2 linked regions of the Drosophila melanogaster genome follow. The protein of the gene in region 1 interacts with the protein of each later gene in a pairwise test. Each region holds a gene or a part of one and is shown in the gene's direction. Other genes may lie near its edges. The genes, in order: CG17637 and TrpRS-m.

What was found.
Region 2: the proteins of CG17637 (region 1) and TrpRS-m interact in a two-hybrid assay, tested with the Drosophila melanogaster proteins (one large-scale study listed by BioGRID).

What each region holds. Positions count from the first base shown.
Region 1 is NT_037436.4:20,499,374-20,510,069, forward strand, and holds CG17637 (uncharacterized protein), read left to right. Parts: upstream 1-4,812; coding exon 4,813-6,327; downstream 6,328-10,696. Other genes in the region: CG18281 (uncharacterized protein), read left to right, coding at 499-2,127; CG5078 (uncharacterized protein), read left to right, coding at 6,659-8,002; CG32425 (uncharacterized protein), read left to right, coding at 10,680-10,696.
Region 2 is NT_037436.4:17,845,395-17,857,524, forward strand, and holds TrpRS-m (Tryptophanyl-tRNA synthetase, mitochondrial), read left to right. Parts: upstream 1-4,332; 5' UTR 4,333-4,485; coding exon 4,486-4,704; intron 4,705-4,766; coding exon 4,767-5,194; intron 5,195-5,382; coding exon 5,383-6,733; 3' UTR 6,734-7,059; downstream 7,060-12,130. Other genes in the region: MED19 (mediator complex subunit 19), read right to left, coding at 360-797; CG7430 (uncharacterized protein), read left to right, coding at 1,803-1,844, 2,153-2,680, 2,744-3,622, 3,686-3,751; CG5535 (uncharacterized protein), read right to left, coding at 7,254-7,705, 7,775-8,560, 8,615-8,875, 8,946-9,313, 11,252-11,277.

The sequences.
Region 1 (10,696 bases):
TCACAGTCATATAGAAAGTTTAGGCATGCATACTCAACCCATATTTTAAGACACGAAAATATGTTAAATAATTTTTAATGGCTTACCTTTAAAAAGTTCTAAAAGTAGATGGCTTTACTTGTTGGCTTGTAAATCGGAACCTTATGGTTCTATTCTCACTAACAAGAGAGGGAAATGTTTGTTATTATTAATAGCTTGGATGAATAATGTTAATATATTTGTGAAAATTTCAGCTATTTTGAAAACAAACTTTTAAATTCTCTTATTTGCGTTTTGCTTACGATCTCTTTGACACATCTCTTTGCTTTCTGCGAGGAGTTCTAGTTTAAACGATATATATTTTAAACGACAAAATAGTGTAGTATAGTTCGAGTATCATGTTTTTTACAGTGCAGCCATAACTATATTTTCTATAAAACTGAGGCGTATAAATTGGATTTAAACTGGAGTTGTCAGGCTATTCTGGCGTTGGCCAGTTCGCGGACAGAACACTAAAAAATGGCGCAGTTGAAGTTTCTTAGACCCCTGGTGAAAGTATTGGTTAATCGTTCTGGAATCGGAAAAGCAAGTGTTTGGCACGCGGTGATCGTTACGTTTATGCACTACTTCTCCTGGGGTCTTCTCACCGTTCCCTTCATCGAAAAATTGTCGGGATCGTTTGGGAATCGCGTCCTTCTCGTCGATGGACTGGTTTATGGAGTTAGAGGAATCCTGGGATTTGTGACCACGCCCGTGATGGGTGCCATTTCCGATTTTCATGGCCGGAAAGTAGTGATGCTACTGGCAGTGGCAACCACCTACGCTCCAATTCCATTCATGATGTTGAAGAGTTGGTGGTTTTTCGCCATTCTCACTGTGAGCTCCATCTGTGGCAGCACTTACTCCTCTTCATTGGCCTATGTGGCAGACACAACTACTGTGGAGAATCGTTCAAAAGGCTATGGCATTGTTGCGGCCAGTTTTGGCGCAGGAATAGCCTTTTCACCATCGTTGGGGAATTACTTGATGAAATCGTACGGGTCCGCATCAGTTATTTTGATTGCCGCCATCACAGGCTTGATTAATATAATGTTTATCATATTTGCGGTGCCAGAGAGTTTAGTTTTAAAAGAAAAAAATAATATGTTGGATGAAGAGAGTGATAACAAGATGGAGGACATTAACCCGAAGGAAAGGAAAGAGATCTTAAACAGAGAAGAAAAATTGAATAACCACGTTTCAGCGAACAAATCCAACCACGGCACATCACAAAATCTAGTCACAAATAAAGAGCTGGGCCAACAGTTCAACAAAGAGGAAAACCTTCAGAATGATTTAACTGAAAAGGAGAAAATTGATAATGGATCCCTAAACTCTTCCGATCTTTGGGAAGTGCTGCGTAAAAGTCGTAAGGATAAGAACCTGCTCGTGATATACCTCATAACATTCCTCTCGATTTGGCCCTTTGCAGGAGTGGATTCTACTGCGCCCGTTTATCTCAAAACTAATATGGGATTTGAGTACGAGGAGGTGTCCATGATGTTGGGATTACTATCTGTGCTGGCGATCACATCCAATCTCCTTCTCGGTTATATTATAAACATAGTGGGGGCCAAGTGGTCGATCCGACTGGGATTATTACTCCTGCTATTGCAGTTGTTCTTCTTCGGCTTTGGAACCCATCATTGGATGTACTGGTTAAGCAGTATCTTGGCCGCACTGGCAACAATTATACCCGCTGCCAATAATGCGGTGGCTTCCATCTACGCCAGTCCCGATAATCGGGGTGCTGTCCTGGGCATTATCTCTGGAATTGAGTGCTTGAGCGAGGGTGTGGGACCTGCCTTTTTCGGAGTACTCTTCTTCATTTTCCAGGATGATTCGAAGAATAAAGTTAATTCACCAATTTCAATGCCCTTCGTCATAAGTGCCATTGGTGTATTTGTAGCCATCGTCTTGACAGGTTTTATTAAAAAGGAGACTGTCGAAAAGGCACCATTGATCTATAAGATCATAGACGACGCTAGCGAGGATGAGGTAGAACCACTAGCGAAAACAACATTTAAATATGAAAAGAATAATGGTTATGTAAAACTAGAGATAGATGACAACTATGATTCGGATTGTAAAGAACATAGCTTTAAATAATTGTTATTTAATTAAACGTTATATAAATTTTCATAAAATGTTCACTTGTTTTAAGTATTCAACAAGAGGGAATGCTATAGTCGAGTTCCCCGACTATCAGATACCTATTACTCATCTAGTCGGAATACGATCGCGAAGTTTCATCATTTTTCTGGGATATCGATAGATATTAGGTAATAAAATAAAAAACAATTTAAAAATTTAAAAGTGTGGATCGTTTTGGGCGTTTTGTACGTGAAATGAGGGGCGTGGCCACAGTGTTGTTGGTATACCAATAAAAATTCGCAAGACACAATAAAACGAAGAAAAATCTAAACTTGTTTCAAAAGTGTGGGCGTGGCAGTTTTGGTCGGTTTTATGGCGTTAGAGGGGGCGTGGCAAAAAGTTTTTTTGCAAATCGATAGCAATTTACAAGACTATCAAAAATATGAAAAATATCAAAATATTTTTCAAAGGTGTGGGCGTGACAGTTTTGTGCTGTTTGTGAACGTTAAAGTGGGCGTGGCGCAAACAAAATTACGCTGCGTTTTTGTCTCTAGAATCTGTATGCTGAATTTCAACCTTATAAGTTTTATAGTTCCTGATATCTCGACGTTCATACCGACAGACGGGCGGACGGACATCGCTAGATCGACTCTGCGCTATTGCCATCCTTCTCTGTCCACCTTCTGCCTTTACAGTCTTTTTCTACAAATCTAGTATACTCTTTTACTCTACCAGTAACGGGTATATATTACATTTTAATATAATAAGTCTTAAAAGATGAGTTCAGCTTAATTAATCATAATTAATTAATCAATCTTTTGGGTTCAATACATTTATACATTTATTAGTAATTCTATACATCTCTAATCTTATACATTTTTAGTAATCTTTTCGTTTTTTGAAAATTACAAATTATTTTTTGTTTTCATTTGAAAACGCCGAAAAATGAACAAGTTATACATCTCCCAAGGCATATAGATTTTCCAAATTCCGATCCTAAAAAGTATATATATTCTTGATCAGGATCACTGATTGATTTGATCAGCCAATGTCCACAGGCAGACGGACGTCCATATGAACGTCGAAATCTAAGGAACTACAAAAGGATATTAAAAAACATAGACGCAGCAGAGACTTCCCACACCCACAGTTTTGAAAAATGATTTAATTTCTAAAATTTTTTTGGTTTTGCCAATTACTAGCGATATGACAAAAAAAATGTTGAAATTTCTTGATTGTACTTCTACTAGCTGAGTAAAGGCTATCTGATAGTATTGGAATTCGACTTAGGCGTTCTTTTCTATCTTTTTGAAATTGGACGTGGCAAAGCAAAAATAAAAGGTGGGGATATATAAAGGGGGTCAAACGATACAAAAATTTTAATTTGATTTTCTTGACACGGCTTCCTTAAACTCACAAGTGGCTCGCATAAATTTGAACATCAGATCTTCACATCAATCGATATTTACTTTTAAAAGGGGCCCTCGGCCCGGGTTTTTACATTTTCCAGTTCGATTTTAACCTTATTTTCTCACAAATGTTTTAGGAACTTTTTATGCAATCCCCTTCGTTTTTGCTCCACCTTTCGATTGTTTTGCCACACGTTAAGATCGAAAAAACCACAGCACACGTTCCTGGTGAACTGATTGGTCATGGGTGTCAAGGGAATACTCTCGTATTTCGCTTAATCATTTTGGCCGGGATCACTAGCCGAGTCAATCTGGCCATGTCCGTCGGTCTGTCCGTATGAACACTGGGTTCTCGGCACCTATAAAAACTAGAATGTTACTATTAGGCATGGTTATTTTAAAGAGGTAGACGCATCGCAAGATTGTTACACCCAATCTTGCTACCAGAAATCGCCAAAAAATATCACGCAAACGCTTTTTTTTTTTTTTGAAATTTGTCAAACGCACTTACTCTAGCTGAGTAAAGGGTATCTGATAGTCGGACAACTTGACTCTAGCTGCCAAACTCATTTGGGCCAAGCCCAATCCGAAAACCGTCCAAACTGTCGCGCTTGCACTGTTGAAATCCCTTTCGTTGTCGTTTTTAATTATACTGGTTTACTTGCAATATTCTATGTGACTCCCACCATCTGCTTAAAGGGTATCTGATAGAGTTTCCCTTTGTGTTGTTATATTTTTTGTACCAACAATATTCTCATATAAATTAATGAAGCTGCAGATATTTCAGAAAATTCATTTTATATTCATATAAATTCATATTTATTCAAAGTCATATGGCAATTCTCGAATCATATTTTAAGGCACGAAACTGTGTTAAATAATTGTTTATGGTTTACTTTTAAAAAGTTCGGAATGTTTGATTTTATATTCGTGAAAAACTGTGAATATATGTATATGGCACTACTTGTTGGTTTCAAATAATAGTTTATACGCTAGTTGTAAACGGGAACCTTTTCTTTTAATTGCCAGTATCAAGAGAGAATGATAATAATATATGAATATTAATATATTCGAAATATGTGTACCTCTCTTTCAAATAAACTCAATAAAACATCTTAAGAAACGATATATTTTTTAAACGACAAAATAGTGTAGTATAGTTCGAGTATCATGTTTTTTCCAGTGCAGCCATAACTATATTTTCTATAAAACTGAGGCGTATAAATTGGATTTAAACTGGAGTTGTCAGGCTATTCTGGCGTTGGCCAGTTCGCGGACAGAACACTAAAAAATGGCGCAGTTGAAGTTTCTTAGACCCCTGGTGAAAGTATTGGTTAATCGTTCTGGAATCGGAAAAGCAAGTGTTTGGCACGCGGTGATCGTTACGTTTATGCACTACTTCTCCTGGGGTCTTCTCACCGTTCCCTTCATCGAAAAATTGTCGGGATCGTTTGGGAATCGCGTCCTTCTCGTCGATGGACTGGTTTATGGAGTTAGAGGAATCCTGGGATTTGTGACCACGCCCGTGATGGGTGCCATTTCCGATTTTCATGGCCGGAAAGTAGTGATGCTACTGGCAGTGGCAACCACCTACGCTCCAATTCCATTCATGATGTTGAAGAGTTGGTGGTTTTTCGCCATTCTCACTGTGAGCTCCATCTGTGGCAGCACTTACTCCTCTTCATTAGCCTATGTGGCAGACACAACTACTGTCGAGAATCGTTCAAAAGGATATGGCTTTGTGGCGGCCAGTTTTGGGGCAGGAATAGCCTTTTCTCCATCGTTGGGGAATTACTTGATGAAATCGTACGGGTCCGCATCAGTTATTCTGATAGCCACCATCACTGGGATGATCAATATCTTGTTTATCATATTTGCGGTGCCAGAGAGTTTAGTTTTGAAGGAGAAAAAGGTTATTTTGAATGAAAATAATGATAACAAGGTGGAGGACACGAAAGTGGATGACATAAGCCCAAAGGAAAAGAAAGAGAACTTAAATGGAGAAGGAAAGGTGAATGTTGAAGTGAACAAACCCACCTCACAGAATATAGTCACAAATAAAGAGCTGGACCAACAGTTCAGCAAAGAGGAAAACCTTCAGAATGATTTAACTGAAAAGGAGAAAATTGATAATGGATCCCTAAACTCTTCCGATCTTTGGGAAGTGCTGCGTAAAAGTCGTAAGGATAAGAACCTGCTCGTGATATACCTCATAACATTCCTCTCGATTTGGCCCTTTGCAGGAGTGGATTCTACTGCGCCCGTTTATCTCAAAACTAATATGGGATTTGAGTACGAGGAGGTGTCCATGATGTTGGGATTACTATCTGTGCTGGCGATCACATCCAATATACTACTCGGTTATATTATGAATATAGTAGGGGCCAAGTGGTCGATCCGTCTGGGACTTTTACTATTGTTCTTGCAAATGCTTTTCTTCGGCTTTGGAACCCATCATTGGATGTACTGGTTAAGCAGTATCTTGGCCGCACTGGCAACAATTATACCCGCTGCCAATAATGCGGTGGCTTCCATCTACGCCAGTCCCGATAATCGGGGTGCTGTCCTGGGCATTATCTCTGGAATTGAGTGCTTGAGCGAGGGTGTGGGACCTGCCTTTTTCGGATTACTCTTCTTCATTTTTCAGGATGATTCGGAGACTGATCTTAAGGTCAATTCTCCAATTTCAATGCCCTTCGTCATAAGTGCCATCAGTGTTTTTGTGGCCATCGTCTTGAGCAGTTTCATTAAGAAGGATACTCTTGGAAATGAAGAAACTAGAGTCGCCAACGAAAACATTCCTTAAAGGCGAAAAATAAGGATATTTATAAGTAGATATTAATGACTGCTACTTTGGTTTGGATTTAAAGAATGTAGACTTACGTATCTGTAATTTAAATAATTTTTAACTTAATTAAAAGTCTTCAACTCGAAACTTTTGGATTTGCGACAAATATCGACTGTTTAAACGTGTAGAAAACTTCAAGTTCTTATACCATTTTCGGACTCACCTAACTAACTAATCACCAAAAGGTATTAGCTACGCTGAAAGACCATACAAATTGTTATTTCAGTTCAGTTGAATTTCCAAACTCGAAAGTTTAGTATTCTCCATGTTGAACTCCCATTATATACATATGTCCAAGTTCGGTCTGAAAAAGTTACTCGTATCGTTGGCCTCTACTTCGGGAATTGGAAAGCCAAGTGTTGGGCACATACTAGTAGTTGTTTTTCTGGAATACTTCGCATGGGGCCTGCTAACAATGCCCATGATAGCCACTCTAAAGGAGACCTTCCCAGACCACACGTTCCTAATGAACGGATTGGTCATGGGAGTCAAGGGAATACTCTCGTTTCTGTCGTCGCCCCTGATCGGAGCTTTATCGGATATATATGGGCGGAAAGTGCTGCTCCTTATAACAGTGATCTTCACTTCCTTACCGATCCCCATGATGACCATGGATAACTGGTGGTTCTTTGTGATAAGTTCGATCAGTGGAGTATTGGGTGTTAGCTTCTCAGTGGCTTTCGCCTATGTGGCGGATGTTACCACAAAGGAAGAGCGCTCTAGATCCTATGAACTTGTATCGGCCACCTTTGCTGCCAGCTTGGTGATCGCCCCAGCAATGGGTAATCTCATAATGGATCGTTACGGAATTAATACTGTGGTGTTAGTAGCAACTTTGGTCTCCACAACGAACGTGATGTTTGTACTGCTGGCTGTGCCCGAAACATTACAACAAAACGTTAGATCCACTGGATTGAGCTGGAAACAAGCGGATCCTTTTCTATCCCTGCGAAGAGTGGGCTCGGATCCTAATGTTCTGCTACTGTGCGTAGTGATGTTCACGTTTCTACTTCCCGAAGCTGGGGAATATTCCAGTGTGCCAGCCTATCTGAAACTAACAATGGGGTTTGATTTCACGGAACTCTCCACGCTGGTGGCGTTCATGGCCATATTAGGCATTTCGATAAACGTGACCTTGGGATCAATAGTGAAGACATTGGGTGCCAAGAATGCTATAATACTTGGATTGCTCCTGGAACTGTTGCAACTCATACTCTTCGCCATAGGATACGAAAAGTGGCAAATGTGGCTAGCCGGAAATGTAGCTGCCCTGAGTTCCATCACCTTTCCGGCCGTGAGTGCCTACGTATCCCTCTACACGGATGTTGAAACTCAAGGAGCAGTTCAGGGAATGATCACGGGAATGTCGGGATTGTGTAGTGGACTTGGACCCGCTCTGTTCGGTATCGTATTCTACCTATCCGACATGGATTTGGATAAAAATCGAATTTTGATAGGCAGTGTAAGTGGAGATCGCACTGTGACCAATCCCTTTATGATTGGAGCTATCTCTGTGTTTATCGGCATTCTGTTGGCGTCATATATCCCAGATGAAAAGGTTTCCAGGGGAAGGAGAGAGGAATTTTCCGCACTGAAGTATATTATTGAAATGGAGGAGGCGACAACAATATAGTTTTACAAATCTTTATTTAGATAGCTTGTTTAGTTCACTATATGGGTTTACACGAGGTCAGAAGCAATAGTATTTAAAAATAAGAAACATTTTCAGTAGAAAATCAAAATATAAACTTAATTAAGCGTTAACTAAAAAGGGTGCGAAAGGTCATTTTTAATTGCATTTAATTGCTTGCATTTTGTTTGCGTTTCGCGATAATGAAAATTGTGCTTTAGTGGGTTAAGATTTAGACGCTATGTCGGTCGTTGTCTTCATTTAATCAGCCACTTTAGCACTGCCTCTCAGTCGACGACCGCGTCTGTTTATTTTGGTTTTTGTTTTCCAATTTCCTTGGCATTTCCCTGCTATTTATTTATAAATTTTCATTTTGCTCTTCTTATTTGTTTAGAAGCTGAAAATTAACAACAGTTTGTTGACTCTTACGCAACAGTCTGGCCTTTTGTTTGTTGTGCCCGTCAGCATGGTGCAATCGGTAGCAAAAGAAATTGACAATAGATAATTTATTAACAACAATTGCAGAAACCCATAAATAGACCAAGCTGTCCTATGTATGTATGTATGTATATTTCCCCATCTCTTCGCAAACGAGCGTTCCTGTTTGGCAGATGTATTCCCTTATTTTTTTTATTTTTTGGTTTTGTTCAAACACAGGCAAAGCCGAAAACTTTCCATTTGAAAAAGCGAGTATCCCATTAAATTTGTACGTATGTACGTATGCCTATGTATGTAAAGAGCCATAAAGTTGAGAAAATAGTGTGATTATACTGAAACACGTGCATGCAAAACCGATTCTCTTACTCTCTTAGGGACATGAAAATATGGGGAGAACATGAGAAGTGAGAGTCTCACTGGCGTCGACTGGGTAAATATTATTTAAGTGTGATGCAGGGGCGGATTCAATTGGATTGGGGTGCTGAACTGGGTGTGTCCAAAGGTAAAATTTTGTAATATAACAGATACTATGTAACTCGTTGGGTAATTATTTCAATTATCTCGTTGGACATCAATCTAGATTTTAATTTGATTAACTCTTAAATTTACCCAATATATGAAATATACATAAGTGATATGATACGATATAAACAGGTTTTTTTGTATTTGAGATGAGAGAAAATGCCAAACCATTTAGCTCCCCTTCAGAATAACCCGCCCTGTAGCAAAAATTCAGTGACACATAACTTTTATCTCGCTATGTTGGTGTTGTATGCCTCCTTTTTAGGTTTTTTCAGCCGCGTCTGGGATTTCTGCCATTGGCCTTCAATTTCGATTCTTTGGCGAGCACTATCAACCAGTCACACAAACGTATGGAACATATGTTCACACGAATCCGGCAACCAGACGACTTGCATATGTACAAAAAAATGCGAAACTATTCCGTGATTCAAGAGAACCCTACTTTGTTGCTACACGGGGCGAAATATTGGGGTGCAAGCAACGGGTCGAAATCGATAAGCCTTGACTTGATAAGACGTCTGTGCCACCCAGCTAATACCCCTTCCATTTCACTACTCTGCTAAATGCGATGCGAATTTCTATGGGTTTTAATTAGCGTTGCGAATGCCTGATGACCAGGAAAACGGTCGGAATCGTTAGTTACACGAGTTACACGAGACTGACTAATCCTACAAATGCTACTGTGCGCAATCAACAATCCGCGTCCGGAACGCAGTAATATTATGTCACTAAAACTGGCATCGGGCGTCTCTTATCAATTATCTTGGAGCAAATCGAAAATTAAGCGCGTTACCAGGCGAAGAAATCGGTTACAGTTTTTCTCGCTGACCGATAACTCCTTGACCTTTTGCTACATACACATACAAATATAAATTTGTACATAGGCGACTTTGAGTATAAAATGGCCTCGGTTCTGATGGAAAGTTTATTTCCTCTTGCCACTGAACTTTGCCGATGTCGGCGAATTTATGCAAAAAAATATATTTGGGTCTGGCTTTGCTTTTTGCTTATGCTGAAAGAGAATCGACCAGTTGTGAGAGTGAGGTTGAGATACCCTTCTGAAAGACTATGAACAAATTTGAATACAATTAAGAAAATAGTAAATGCTGAAACATTTCGACTAATATACCAACAAATCAACTACACGTATTTTTAAAACTTACAAAAATCGAGTTTTCTTAAATGTATGTATTACCACAACTTCTTGATTTGTTTTTGATTTATTTATTTAAAAAGCGACATATGCGAACAGTTTACATCACATGTGAAATTTGTTTAGTGAATTTAAATTAAAAGATCGGGGTTCCTGCTTTTTAAACTTCCTATCTTTTCATTTTGATTTGTAAATTATGAACTGAAACTCAAAAGTAACTGAAAGTTAGGGTATCCATGGTGCGCTCTTTTGAAAACCGATTCCCTTGCGATGGAGTGATAGGCGAACACGTGAGAGAGCGGGAGAAGTATGGGGCAAAGCATAGAACGCGATTACGATTACTGGGGGCCCCTCTTTCTGCGCTTTGGTGCTTCTCTTTCTGCCGGCTTTTCGAGTCTCTTACGCAAAAAGGCCTTCATTTGGAAAGCCCACGTCGTGGAGATCGGATCGCATTAATTCTCCTGCTTAAAAGCCTGTAAATTCCAAAACATGTCCGTTTTTAACTAATATAAATAACGATTGCATATGCCTCTGCTTATTACAGGCACCGCCAGCAACGTCGAGCTAATGGAGGCCATGAAGAA
Region 2 (12,130 bases), 2.7 Mb from region 1:
CACTCTTGTTAATTTAAGTAATTTTTGTGATTAATGACTAAAATATTTGTGTTTCAAATTTGTTGTTGAACATAAGGAAAATGAATTACAACTCTAAAATACTACGGTGATTATAGAAATAAGTGACAGAAAAGGTGCGACCAAATAACACTTTATAGTAGATCAGTCTGTGCAAGGACACTTAAATCCAAATTTCATATGCAAATTTTAAAAAGCGAAATTAATGCATGCAAATGTATAGAGACGCAAAGCATTGAATAGCGTCTAAATGTATTCTAAGATGTTCAATGTGCCGTATCTAAAGATTCGTCATTTTTCAAACTGAGCAAGCGAATTAAAAGCATATTGGAAAAACCAACCGGTCCGGGATGCAAGCGGAATCCGGCCAGCTGCACGGGAGTCAGCGGAAGAAGCTCCTTTCCACCAATGGGCGGCTTTTCGATCACGCTCCGCAGCGTGCTATTCTCCACGGGATGCGTGATGAGGTCGTTAATGCCGGGGATGTTCTGCAGAAACGAGGCCAGCGACTCCTTGAACTTCTTCTCCTTGAACTTGGTGAGTGTGTGGTGCAGTCCGTACTCGGTCATGAGATCCTTGTCGCCGGTAAGTTCTGCCTTGGCGGGTGGTTCCTTCATGGAGTAAAATGGCCCCGTGTGAATGATCGTTGGCGTCTTGCCCAGCGAAATGGTCGTTTTCAGGGTGCCGGATGAGTCTTGACGGGCCACCACGGGTGATCGGCCGCCGCCGTGGGGCGATGACTTCGGTGAGTCCATCATGTTGCCGTAGTTGCTCATCATCTTGGAAACTCAGCGATTCTCTTCACTCTTGGCAACCCACGCACACAATCGCACCGCACCGCACACGCTCACGCACACAGGGGCACAGCAACAAGGCAAGGCCAGCAGAAGGTGTCGCCTGTCGCGGCTCTCGGGCAACGCTGGCCAAGCTCACACTCTGCAAAATGCGCCGCGTCTGCCCGGCACTTCGGCTGACTCTTTTCTGGTCGAAAACTGAACTAATTATTTGCTCTTGTGGCGTTTTCTAACAGATTTCGGGGGCAAGTCTCGCCATCTTGTTGTGTCCGCGAACCAGTGTGACCGCATTGCGACAGCTAGCGAAATACTGAGGCTTCAACGAAAACGCGAGATGAACGCGACGTGAAAATACCAAAAGTGTTGTGGGAAATATCCCAGATGGGGAATACCACACAGGGTTGTACTGTAGGGCAAACTATCGAATATTCATCGTATAATACATTTTTAATTACCTATAGATATAATAAAGTTAATATTACTTTGGAACTCTTATTATATATGTATCGTATGTACGTTGAGTTATATATTTTTAAAACAGTTATTTTACAGTTTATTTATTACAGTTTATTTTATACGTACAAAAACATTAATTAATGGGTGCCAAAACTATAAAAGCCGGCTTACACGTATAGTTGGCTTGTTTTTAGGTAGCTTTTGCTACAACAAATGACCCATAAAGTGAATATTGTATAAACTAGCAATTGAGTGACGGACATATCGTATTTTGAACGATCATCAAGCTAATATTTTTATACACATCTTTTTCATACGAAAATGTTTTAGAATTTCAAATTCCAACAGAGTGGAAAATCACCAAAACAATCGATAGCATCGCGGCCATCATATGACCACTATCGAATGCACATCGCCAGCCCTGCGACCGCTCCGAGCCCCACAACACGAAAAACAGTCGGAAAAACACACATCAAACTAGTGTTGTGTTTGTAGTTAAATAACGATTATCCTCATAACTCGCCCGCACCAGCCATGCAATTCACGCTCCGTCATGTTGTTTCGGCAGTAGCCAAGGTAAGGATCGGGCGACATAACCGATTCCCCAAACGCCATCGCCCCTCAAGTTATGCAATCTAACCTCACCGAGGGGGTCGAGAAATGGGCAGGAAAAGGCTGGAAAATGCACTTGGATCACCTGCAGTGCTCATATGATCCCGGTGGGTGATTCACTGGCGTTTGGGGATTTGTTTGGCCCCGTTTTCAAGGTCGCTAATTAGGCCAATTATCAGCTGATAGTCGGCCGAAGATTAGTGCGAAATGCGTGCGACTGGCGTGATAAATGATAAGGTGCCACAACATGTAGTAATCTGCCGTCTTTACAGACTCCTCTGCGCACCAATGCCGCCATTCTGGGTGCCCTCAACGCCCGCTGCTACTCCAGCACCCACGAGGCGGACATCGTGGTGATTGGCTCCGGACCCGGTGGCTATGTCGCCGCCATCAAGGCCGCCCAGATGGGCATGAAGACGGTCAGCGTGGAGAAGGAGGCAACTCTGGGCGGCACCTGCCTGAATGTTGGCTGCATTCCCTCAAAGGCGCTGCTGAACAACTCCCACTACTACCACATGGCCCACTCCGGTGATCTGGAGAAACGTGGTATTAGCTGCGGCAGCGTTAGCCTGGATCTGGAGAAGCTTATGGGTCAAAAGTCCAACGCCGTGAAGGCTTTGACCGGTGGCATTGCCATGCTTTTCAAGAAGAACAAGGTCACACAGCTGACGGGCTTCGGCACCATCGTCAATCCCAACGAGGTGGAGGTTAAGAAATCCGACGGCTCCACGGAGACTGTCAAGACCAAGAACATCCTCATCGCCACCGGCTCGGAGGTTACCCCCTTCCCTGGCATTGAAGTAAGTGCAAAACCTCTACAGCGCGCTTGATTACTAATGCATGCCATTCAAAAACCTTCACAGATCGACGAGGAAGTTATTGTGAGCAGCACTGGCGCCCTGAAGCTGGCCAAGGTGCCCAAGCATCTGGTTGTCATCGGCGCCGGTGTCATTGGCCTGGAGCTGGGTTCGGTATGGTCGCGTCTGGGCGCTGAGGTCACTGCCATTGAGTTCATGGATACGATCGGCGGCGTGGGCATCGATAACGAAGTCTCCAAGACGTTCCAAAAGGTGCTCACCAAGCAGGGTCTTAAGTTCAAGCTGGGCACCAAGGTGACGGCTGCCTCTCGCAGCGGCGACAACGTCACCGTGTCCGTGGAGAACGCCAAGTCTGGCGAGAAAGAGGAGATCCAGTGCGACGCCCTGCTGGTCAGTGTTGGACGTCGTCCCTACACCGAAGGTTTGGGTCTGGAGGCCGTGGGCATTGTTAAGGATGACCGCGGCAGGATCCCCGTCAACGCCACTTTCCAAACTGTGGTGCCCAATATTTACGCCATCGGCGACTGCATCCACGGACCCATGTTGGCGCACAAGGCTGAAGATGAGGGCCTCATCACCATTGAGGGCATCAACGGCGGCCACGTGCACATCGACTACAACTGCGTGCCCAGTGTAGTCTACACGCATCCCGAGGTCGCGTGGGTTGGCAAGAGCGAGGAGCAACTGAAGCAGGAGGGTGTTGCCTACAAGGTGGGCAAGTTCCCCTTCCTGGCCAACTCTCGTGCCAAGACCAACAACGACACCGACGGTTTCGTCAAGGTTCTGGCCGACCAGGCCACCGATAAGATCCTGGGAACCCATATTATCGGACCTGGTGCCGGCGAGCTCATTAACGAGGCTGTGCTGGCCATGGAGTACGGAGCCGCTGCCGAGGACGTTGCCCGCGTTTGCCATGCGCATCCAGTAAGTGATTACCTAATCTGATTTGAACCTTTCGAACCTAATGCGCACAATTCCTTCTTTCAGACATGTTCCGAGGCCCTGCGTGAGGCCAATGTGGCAGCTGCCTTTGGCAAACCCATCAACTTCTAAGCACTTCCCAATCTCTGCCAGATAGTGAAGAATTTTGCACCGCGTTTGAAATCTTTGAATAACCCCTATTCGAAAAATTATCCTGACGGCCGAAACGACAGTCTCCGCATATTTGTAACTCTCAATGTAGGAACAGAAAAGTGGAAAATATAAATAATGGTAATGGCGCCAGGCGTTAATTGCAATGTAATATGTGTATTAAGCTAGAATAAATACAACACTGTTTGAAAACTCGAAACTGCAGTTCTGCAGATTAATTCTTTTTCAATGTCGTTAGATTTTCTGGTGTACCACTAATAAAGCTATAAGCATAAAAATAATAGGAGTCCTGTTAAAAAAAAAAAATTGTTCAATTGGTCTCTACAATTTATTTACCATCAAACAATTACATTAAATTTCAAGCCATACGTTCACAAGTAAGATGTAAATAGGTAATACCCTTAAATAGAGAGTTATAAAAAAAATGATAATAAATAACATTCTTTATTAAATTTGAATATTAATATTAATCCACGATTTAGCGGAAAACTCGCCAAGCTGAGTATCACTGTTCACAGCTGTCGTACCGGCTTTTCAAAAGCCATCTGGCAACGCTCGCGAACGCTCAGTGTCAAAATTTCGGCCGTTTCGAACAAATAATTTATTTTTGGGCTTTGTTCACACATTTAGCACCGCATTATTCCCAATATTTTTTACTCAAAAGTTTTGGGGTACAAAATTCATAGCTCATTGCAATGTTCCGATTTGGCAAGCTCCATCGCAGTCTGTCTAAGGTGGCCAAAAAGGGACAGACAGCTGTGTATTCCCAGCGCCGTTGCATTCAGGCGAGGAGTTTCTTGCCGGGATTGGCTAGTAGGACGGCTGGAACGCCCTCTGCGACGGCCCAGGTAACCGGTGGAAACAAGCAGCACGTACACCCCCATGGTAATTCCGTTAACAGTGGCCACGAAGAAGTAAGTGCATTCGTAGAAATAGTTTACATAACACAAGACTCTAATATATTACCCCAACCCAGCATAACACCCGCTGGCCGAGGAAAGTCTTTAGTGGCATCCAGCCGACGGGTTCCCTGCATCTGGGTAATTATCTCGGCGCCGTGCGCAAATGGGTGCAGCTGCAGAATGCTCGTGACGATGTCACCGTGTGTATTGTGGATTTGCACTCTATTACCATGCCCCACAATCCGCCGCTTCTGCGAGAGAACATCTTCACCATGGCCGCCACGTTGTTGGCATGTGGCATCGATCCCACCAAGAGCACCCTCTTTGTCCAGTCCGCCGTTGCCGAGCACGCCGAGTTCAATTGGATCCTTAGCTCCTTGACCACCATGCCGCGATTGGCTCAACTGCCGCAGTTCCGAGAGAAGTCCCGTCTTCTAAAGGATGTCCCTCTGGGATTGTACGTTTACCCGGTTCTCCAAGCAGCCGACATTATGCTTTACAAGTAAGTAAATATATTCCGTTTTTTGTTCAGAATGTAAGCCGGGAATGCAAGAGTCCTAGTTGCTTATCAGACTTAAATGCTTTGGTTCAGCTTTACATATTTTTAAACCACCCTTTAATATCTGAAATGGTTTGCCATTTGCTTACTTATTATAGTACTTATAATATTCATATTCGTTTTTCGATCAGGTCCACTCATGTTCCTGTGGGCGCTGACCAGATTCAGCACATTCAGCTGGCCCAGCACTTGGCCAGAATTTATAACGGTCGCTATGGCGAGACTTTCCCTGTTTGCACCGCCATCATTGAGGATGGTGATGCCTCCCGTGTGCTGTCCCTGCGAGATCCCTCCAAAAAGATGTCTAAATCGGAAGCGAATCCCAAGGCCACCATCAACTTGTGTGACTCGCCCGACTTGATTACGCAGAAGATAAAGAAAGCCGTCACAGACTTTACATCGGACATTACTTATAATCCTGGCAAGCGTGCTGGCGTCAGCAATCTGGTCAACATCCATGCCCAGGTCACGGGACAGAGCATTAAGACAGTGGTGAACGAGGCCGCCACTTTGGACACGGCAAAGTATAAGGACCGTGTGGCGGAGGCTGTGGTCGAGCACTTGCGTCCGATCCGAGAACAGATACACCATCACATGACTAAGCGCAACGAGATGATCTACTTGCTGGAAGTGGGTGCAGAAAAGGCACGTCAGCAGGCACGCCAAACGTTGAACGATGTTAAACAGCGCCTAGGACTAGGAACCAGTGCCAACATTCCGGCTGCGGTGCATGTGGCTCCACTTCTGCCCGCACCCGATATTTCCAAAACCTCAGCAAGCAGGCGAATGTCCAAGGACTTCGACGGGAATGTCCACGAGCGTCACGAACGGATGTACGGATTCGGAGATCAGCCAAGCGGAGGAGCTGGTCAGTCAGCCACCGGCGAGGTGGCGGATATGCCTCAGGCCGTTGTACCGCGGGTGATCCGTCGGGCGCCCATCGTTCCCACTCAGTCTATGCGCGTAGAGAAACAACTAGGTAGCACTCGAACTCGGCACGTATTCCAGATGGACACCTGCAATGCTCCGCATATAGGGTTCAAACCGCCGCCAGGATTTTCGGCCAGCATGGTCACCGGTGCTCTAGCCAAGAACAAGCGCGCTACAGTTAAACCCGTTACTGGCAACCTGGGCTTCGGCCAGCAATCGCAGGGTGGCTCTTACAAGCACAGCCAGAACGTGAATCCTAGTGCGGTATCCACCATTGCACGTGAAGTAAACGCTGCTAAGAAGCAGGAGTTTACCTGCAACCCCGCTTTGTACGGCTCTGCCTTAGAATCGCTTTCCAATTCAAGTCGCTCGAGCGAAAAGACTAACTCTACGGCAGGAGACAGTGAGTTCATAATTGTCGCGAGCGAGGAGGAAGAGCAGGCTGCTTCCTCTGAGGAGCAACGCGAAGAAGCTGAAGAGGAGGAGTCCGGGGAACGTGAAAGGGAGAAAGGCGAGCGCAACGCCACTGAAGCTACCAAAGTCGAGATTTAACTCTCGGAAACATTGCAATTGTTATAAGTGTAGTACAAGTATACTTAGGTAACATTACTGTTAAATCTGTCGTTTTTTTGAAAATCGCGAACAGCTTTTGCAGCAGAAGACGAAGTCAAGATAATATAGACGTATCAAAATCAAATGGCATATGTGGATACTGACACTACAATTATTGTTATATTTACTGTTATGTACTGAGAGTGCAGTAAGATTACATTTTGAACTTGTATGTTTAATCCCATGTGATTGCATTGACCGGCTGGATTTCATCGCTAAATTATAAGCAAATCTCGCACCCAAATAAATTTATACTGATTTAGCATAGGAATATTCGTGTTTATTGCTTTCAGCTAACTTATTGTACTCTCGTTTGTTTTTGGTATCCTATCTTACGGTATGAGGATAAGTGCATGTGTAAATTACATAGGTGAGTATGTGGATGATGAGAAGCGTGTCTAATCGCGCATTTCGCAGGCAAAAAAAGTAAATGTATAGTGTGGTTAATATCAATATATATTTAGGATGTACTGTGCATCAATATCAGGGGCACCTCGTTGCTGTACTTTGAGTTCTCCTGGCCGCCCAACAACGCCGAATTGCTGCAGTCCCGCATCATGGCAATGGAATTGTTGCGCTGTTCCCGCTGCCTCAGCCGGCTGTGACGGATGCCATAGGCCAGGAAGATTGCCAGGCCTATGGCGATCCATATACTGAAGCGAATCCATGTGAGAATGTCCAACTTGATCATCAGGTAAATGTTGATCAAAATGGAAATGCCGGGTAGCCAGGGAACCAAGGGCACCTTGAACGACAATTTCACCCCTGATGTTGGCTGACGCGAGATGACCAGGAGCAGTACTGCAAGGGGTATGGTGCCTAGCACCAGCTTAATACCATCGAAGGACGTCACGTTAGCCAGATCCTCCTCGAACTTGGTTAGAATCTGCGAGAAAACCATGCACCAAAGAGCTGAAACAAAATAAATGTTATTAGGGGTATATTAATAATACTAATTTTAAAACTAAAATTTGCACTCACAGAACAGCGTGACACTGTAGGTGACGATCCTTGAAGTCTGCTTTGTGGGTACTGTCTGACCATTTAGGTTGAATATACGCCTCCATAGAGCACACGGACGATCCTGCTCCAGACCCGTGGCACGTCCGTTTGCCACAATGCGGCTCTCCCGTCGATCGTCCACTTCGTAGCGCAGCATAAGGACACAACTGGCCACCATGGAATAGGCCAACAAAGTGCCAATGGACATCATGTTCACCAGTTGGCTAAGATTGAAAACTGCCGCCAGAATGCCAGTCAGCATACCTGTGATCATGGTTCCCTTGAAAGGGGTCTTGTACTTCTCGCTAATGTCTCCGAGAAATTTGAACAGCAGTCCATCGTTGGACATGGCAAACACGATCCTTGGCAGCGGGAACATGGCTCCCATCATGCTGGAGCACAGTCCAAACATCGCTCCAATACTGACAACATACTCGGCCACATGCCACCCATTTATCCGGAAGACATGGGGCAGCGGAGCCTTCTCATCCTGCTCAAAATAGGGCAGCATCATGGTCAGCACTGTGGACACTCCAAAGTAGGCTAGGAAGATCATGGCCAGCGAGACAATCACAGCAAATGGAATGGACTTCTTGGGGTTCTTGGCCTCCTCTCCAGCTGTGGCAATGCAGTCGAAGCCAATGAAGCCGTAAAAGCAAACTGCAGCTCCTTTTATTATGCCCGAAACTCCGTAGGGCATAAATCCACCATCGCCGTAGCCCTCGGGTACCTGAGATTTTGGAATGGACCAGTTGCTGCTGGAAACTGAAAAAAGGATTGTGTAAGTAAATAAATATGTAAAACAATTTCAAAACCCACCTTTAAAAAGACCCGCGATAATGACGAACAACACGACTCCAAGATTAAGCATAGTGAAAACATTGTTCACCCTGGTGGACTCCTTGGCTCCAACTGCAATGGCCAGGGAAAAAAGTATGGTCACCACGAAGGCAAACAGATCCGGATAGGCACCCATTCCCTCGATGTTGAGGGGCATGTGGGTGCCCAGGAAACTGCTCATCGGATTGCCGCAAAGCTGATCGAGATAGGTGCTTAAACCCTTGACGACACTGGCAGAGCCTAGGGAGAGCGAATATTGGGCAATTAAATCAAATCAATCAGACGTCGTCGTCTCCAATTGAAAACTTACCAATTGCGTATTCGAGAATGAGATTCCAGCCGATGAGGAAGGCGATAAACTCGCCAATGGTCACATAGCTGTAGATGTACGCCGATCCCGCCTTTGGAACCCGAGCTCCGAATTCCGCATAGCACAGCCCGGCGAAAATCGAGGCGATGGCAGCGATGAGGAAGCTTACGACCACGGCTGGACCGGCATATTGCTTGGACACTTCGCCAGCTAGGACGTAAACGCCTACACCCAACGTCGATCCGATTCCCAGGGCGGTAAGATCGAAGGCGGATAAGACCTTGGCCAATTTGGATTCATTTGAGTCCTCCAGGGGCTTTTTGCGTGTGAGCACGCGAAACGCATTCGTCACGCTCCAGCTGGGCATTCTGGAATATGTTCATTAAACAATTATTATAATGGGTAAGTGTGCAATTGGGGCTTAGGGCTTCTGCTGAGCCGTGCAATAATAACCCGCCGTATTTTCGATGTTTACAGAACCCACATATTAACACGTTCGCAATTTGTGGAAAGTGCCTGTGATGGTAGGTGGGCTAAGAAATTGTGCGGAGTTGGATTTATGGATCGGGCCATAAGAAAATTAGTGGGCGTCCGTTAATGTGCGAATGTAGACAACGGTTTTACAGCCGCCAAGTCGAGTCGAAGCTGATCTAAATTGGAGTCTTGTGATCATCGGGGATTATTACCAATGACTCACAGGGGATATCTCCACACAAAGTTATTCCAAGGTGCAGTGCCTCAGCTAAGACAACGCTCAAGAAACTAGGAATTTGTCAAACTGTTCAGATGCAAATTTGATAAGGTTTCAGAAATTTGAAAATGAAAATCCTTCAAGTTTTCTAAATCTATTTCCGTTAGCATAGGTGAAAATAATTAATATAAAAAATAAAGTTTATTAAAAAATGAGTTCTTTACTTTTATCACACAAAACTGTCACAAACAGAAAAAAACAAAAAACGGACAAGTAAGCAAAAACATTTATTTTTAGATCTCAATCTAAACTATTTTTCAAAACTAATAAACTCTTTTTCAATTCTCGATAAAAGATTAAAATGTGTTTGAAAATTTATATTTGTATTTATCGTTTTCTCACCTGTTTATTAGTGAACTAGTCAGATCCTTTAACACAAATTTACTTTTTTTTATTTTGTAATTTATCCCCTTTGAATCTATATTTCACAAAATATCACAAACTGCCAGCCATTCTATGTTTCCAAGGGTGGAGTCGAGTTTCAAATACTTGAGTGGGCAAATAACAATCGTATCTGTATCTGGTTGCCTCTTAATTGAGTTTGCGTATTCGAATTCGCAGTTTGGAATTGTATCGAGTTGCGTATAGCGCCGGGAAACGTTCCACTTATTTCTGAGCGTTTGTGAAGCACGCCAGTGCCATTAAATAGCGAATCGGTTCCACGGCTCCGGGGATCGTGGTGAGTTCCAGCCGGACAGAAGCTCTCGAATCCTCAGGTCAGACACAACTGTGGTGGAATCGCGCCTCTGACGCTGATAACGCTAATTGGTAACCCGTTACCCACCTCCATCTCCACCTGAATATGAAGTACGAGTATCGGATGACTTGTCAGGTCGATGGGCCAAGTTTACCACAAGCCCTAATGAATTGTCGCGTTCGATTAGCGGTTCGAATAGTGGAAACTGTTTGTCGTCATTAAATAAGTAGCAGGGTAGCTAAATTTTAGGATCAGTTCACTTTACATCTTTGACACGCACTGTCAATTAATAGTCCATCCATCTAACACATTAGAAAGTTGCTGATATCTTAAAGAACCTTCACAAGATAAGAAACGCGACTTGAGAACAAAGGTTTTTTTTTTAAATTTTCTATATATTCTTAGTATGACTTATTTTTTAAATGAAGTATTATTTCCCAGTACAAAGTAATAGAAATACTCAATTGCGTCCAGTTTAAATGGAATTTTTACGCGCCAAAACCAGCAGCTGAACTTTTCGTCCCTTTGTGAAAAGGATAAACACGCTCCACAGGGCATTTTTTAGTTGGGGTGTTGATACCTCCTGGATGGTTTTGCTTTCGTACGGCACTACTAATTTCGCTTTGTTTGAGCTTTTCATTCACATGGCCGCGTGGAGATGGAGATTTGGCCATTGTTTATACGCAACTCAGCTGATAGGGAATAGCCGATTCACGTCGTGTGGCCGAGAAGTGGGTGCTAAATCGTGGCTAAAATTAGCCACCGTGTTTGATTGCATTTAACGCTAATTTTAGACACTTGTTGCATGCGTGTTCTTGAAGCCCCACACACACACACTTCACATCTCAAAGAACTCACCCATAGTACTCGGCGAACTCCTCCATTGCTGTCATGCGAATCGATTTGATTAAATTCAATTAATAATGTACCGCTCATCAATTTGCGGCCGCTTTCCGTTCTTCACATAACCATTCTGCCGCAAACCATGTGTTTTGGTCATAAAATCACTTTTCCACGCAACACAGGCACATTGCCAGTGCAGCTGCCGCTCTCTCCATTCTCTCATTTGCCATGGCCGCAGTCAAAAGGGGTTTGCACCTCGTTGAACCATTTTAAATAAGTGTTGCTGCAAGCCCAACTTGAAACCTCTATTTTAGACACCTAAAAATATATTGGATTTTAAAACTTTGAAAAACTTTCCATGCATTTCCTTGATTTTTATTAAACGAACAAGTTTTTCGGATAACTTTTAAGTAGTTCAAATATAATTTGTATAATATAATTGAATTATTTAGCTCTTGTTTATTAAGTAGTCATTTATATCTCTCTATTCACTCTATTCATATCGTATTGTTGTAAGAATTTGTTGTGGGTTAAAATTTTGATATTTAATATTTTTTGACCTTCACAATAAGAAGCTATAAATTATATTAAGTAATAATATTGCATTATTTTACATCCTTCGCGCTACGTCCATGATCATTTACTATTTGCGTTTGATGGTCGGGAGAGAATCCGGGTAGTCGACTTCTTCGAATCTCCATGAGCTAGATATGCAAGCGATATTAATACATTCAACGCAGTAGAATGGCAGCCCTAATTTAGCCGGTAAAAAGCACTATAACCGCTCTCTGTCTTGTTGGCTCTCTTTTTGGCCTTTCTAATGTGCTTACTACATAGCCACTTCTATTTCATCAGCCCCTTGTCCACCCCTAACAGAGTTTCTTAGAACGTTTC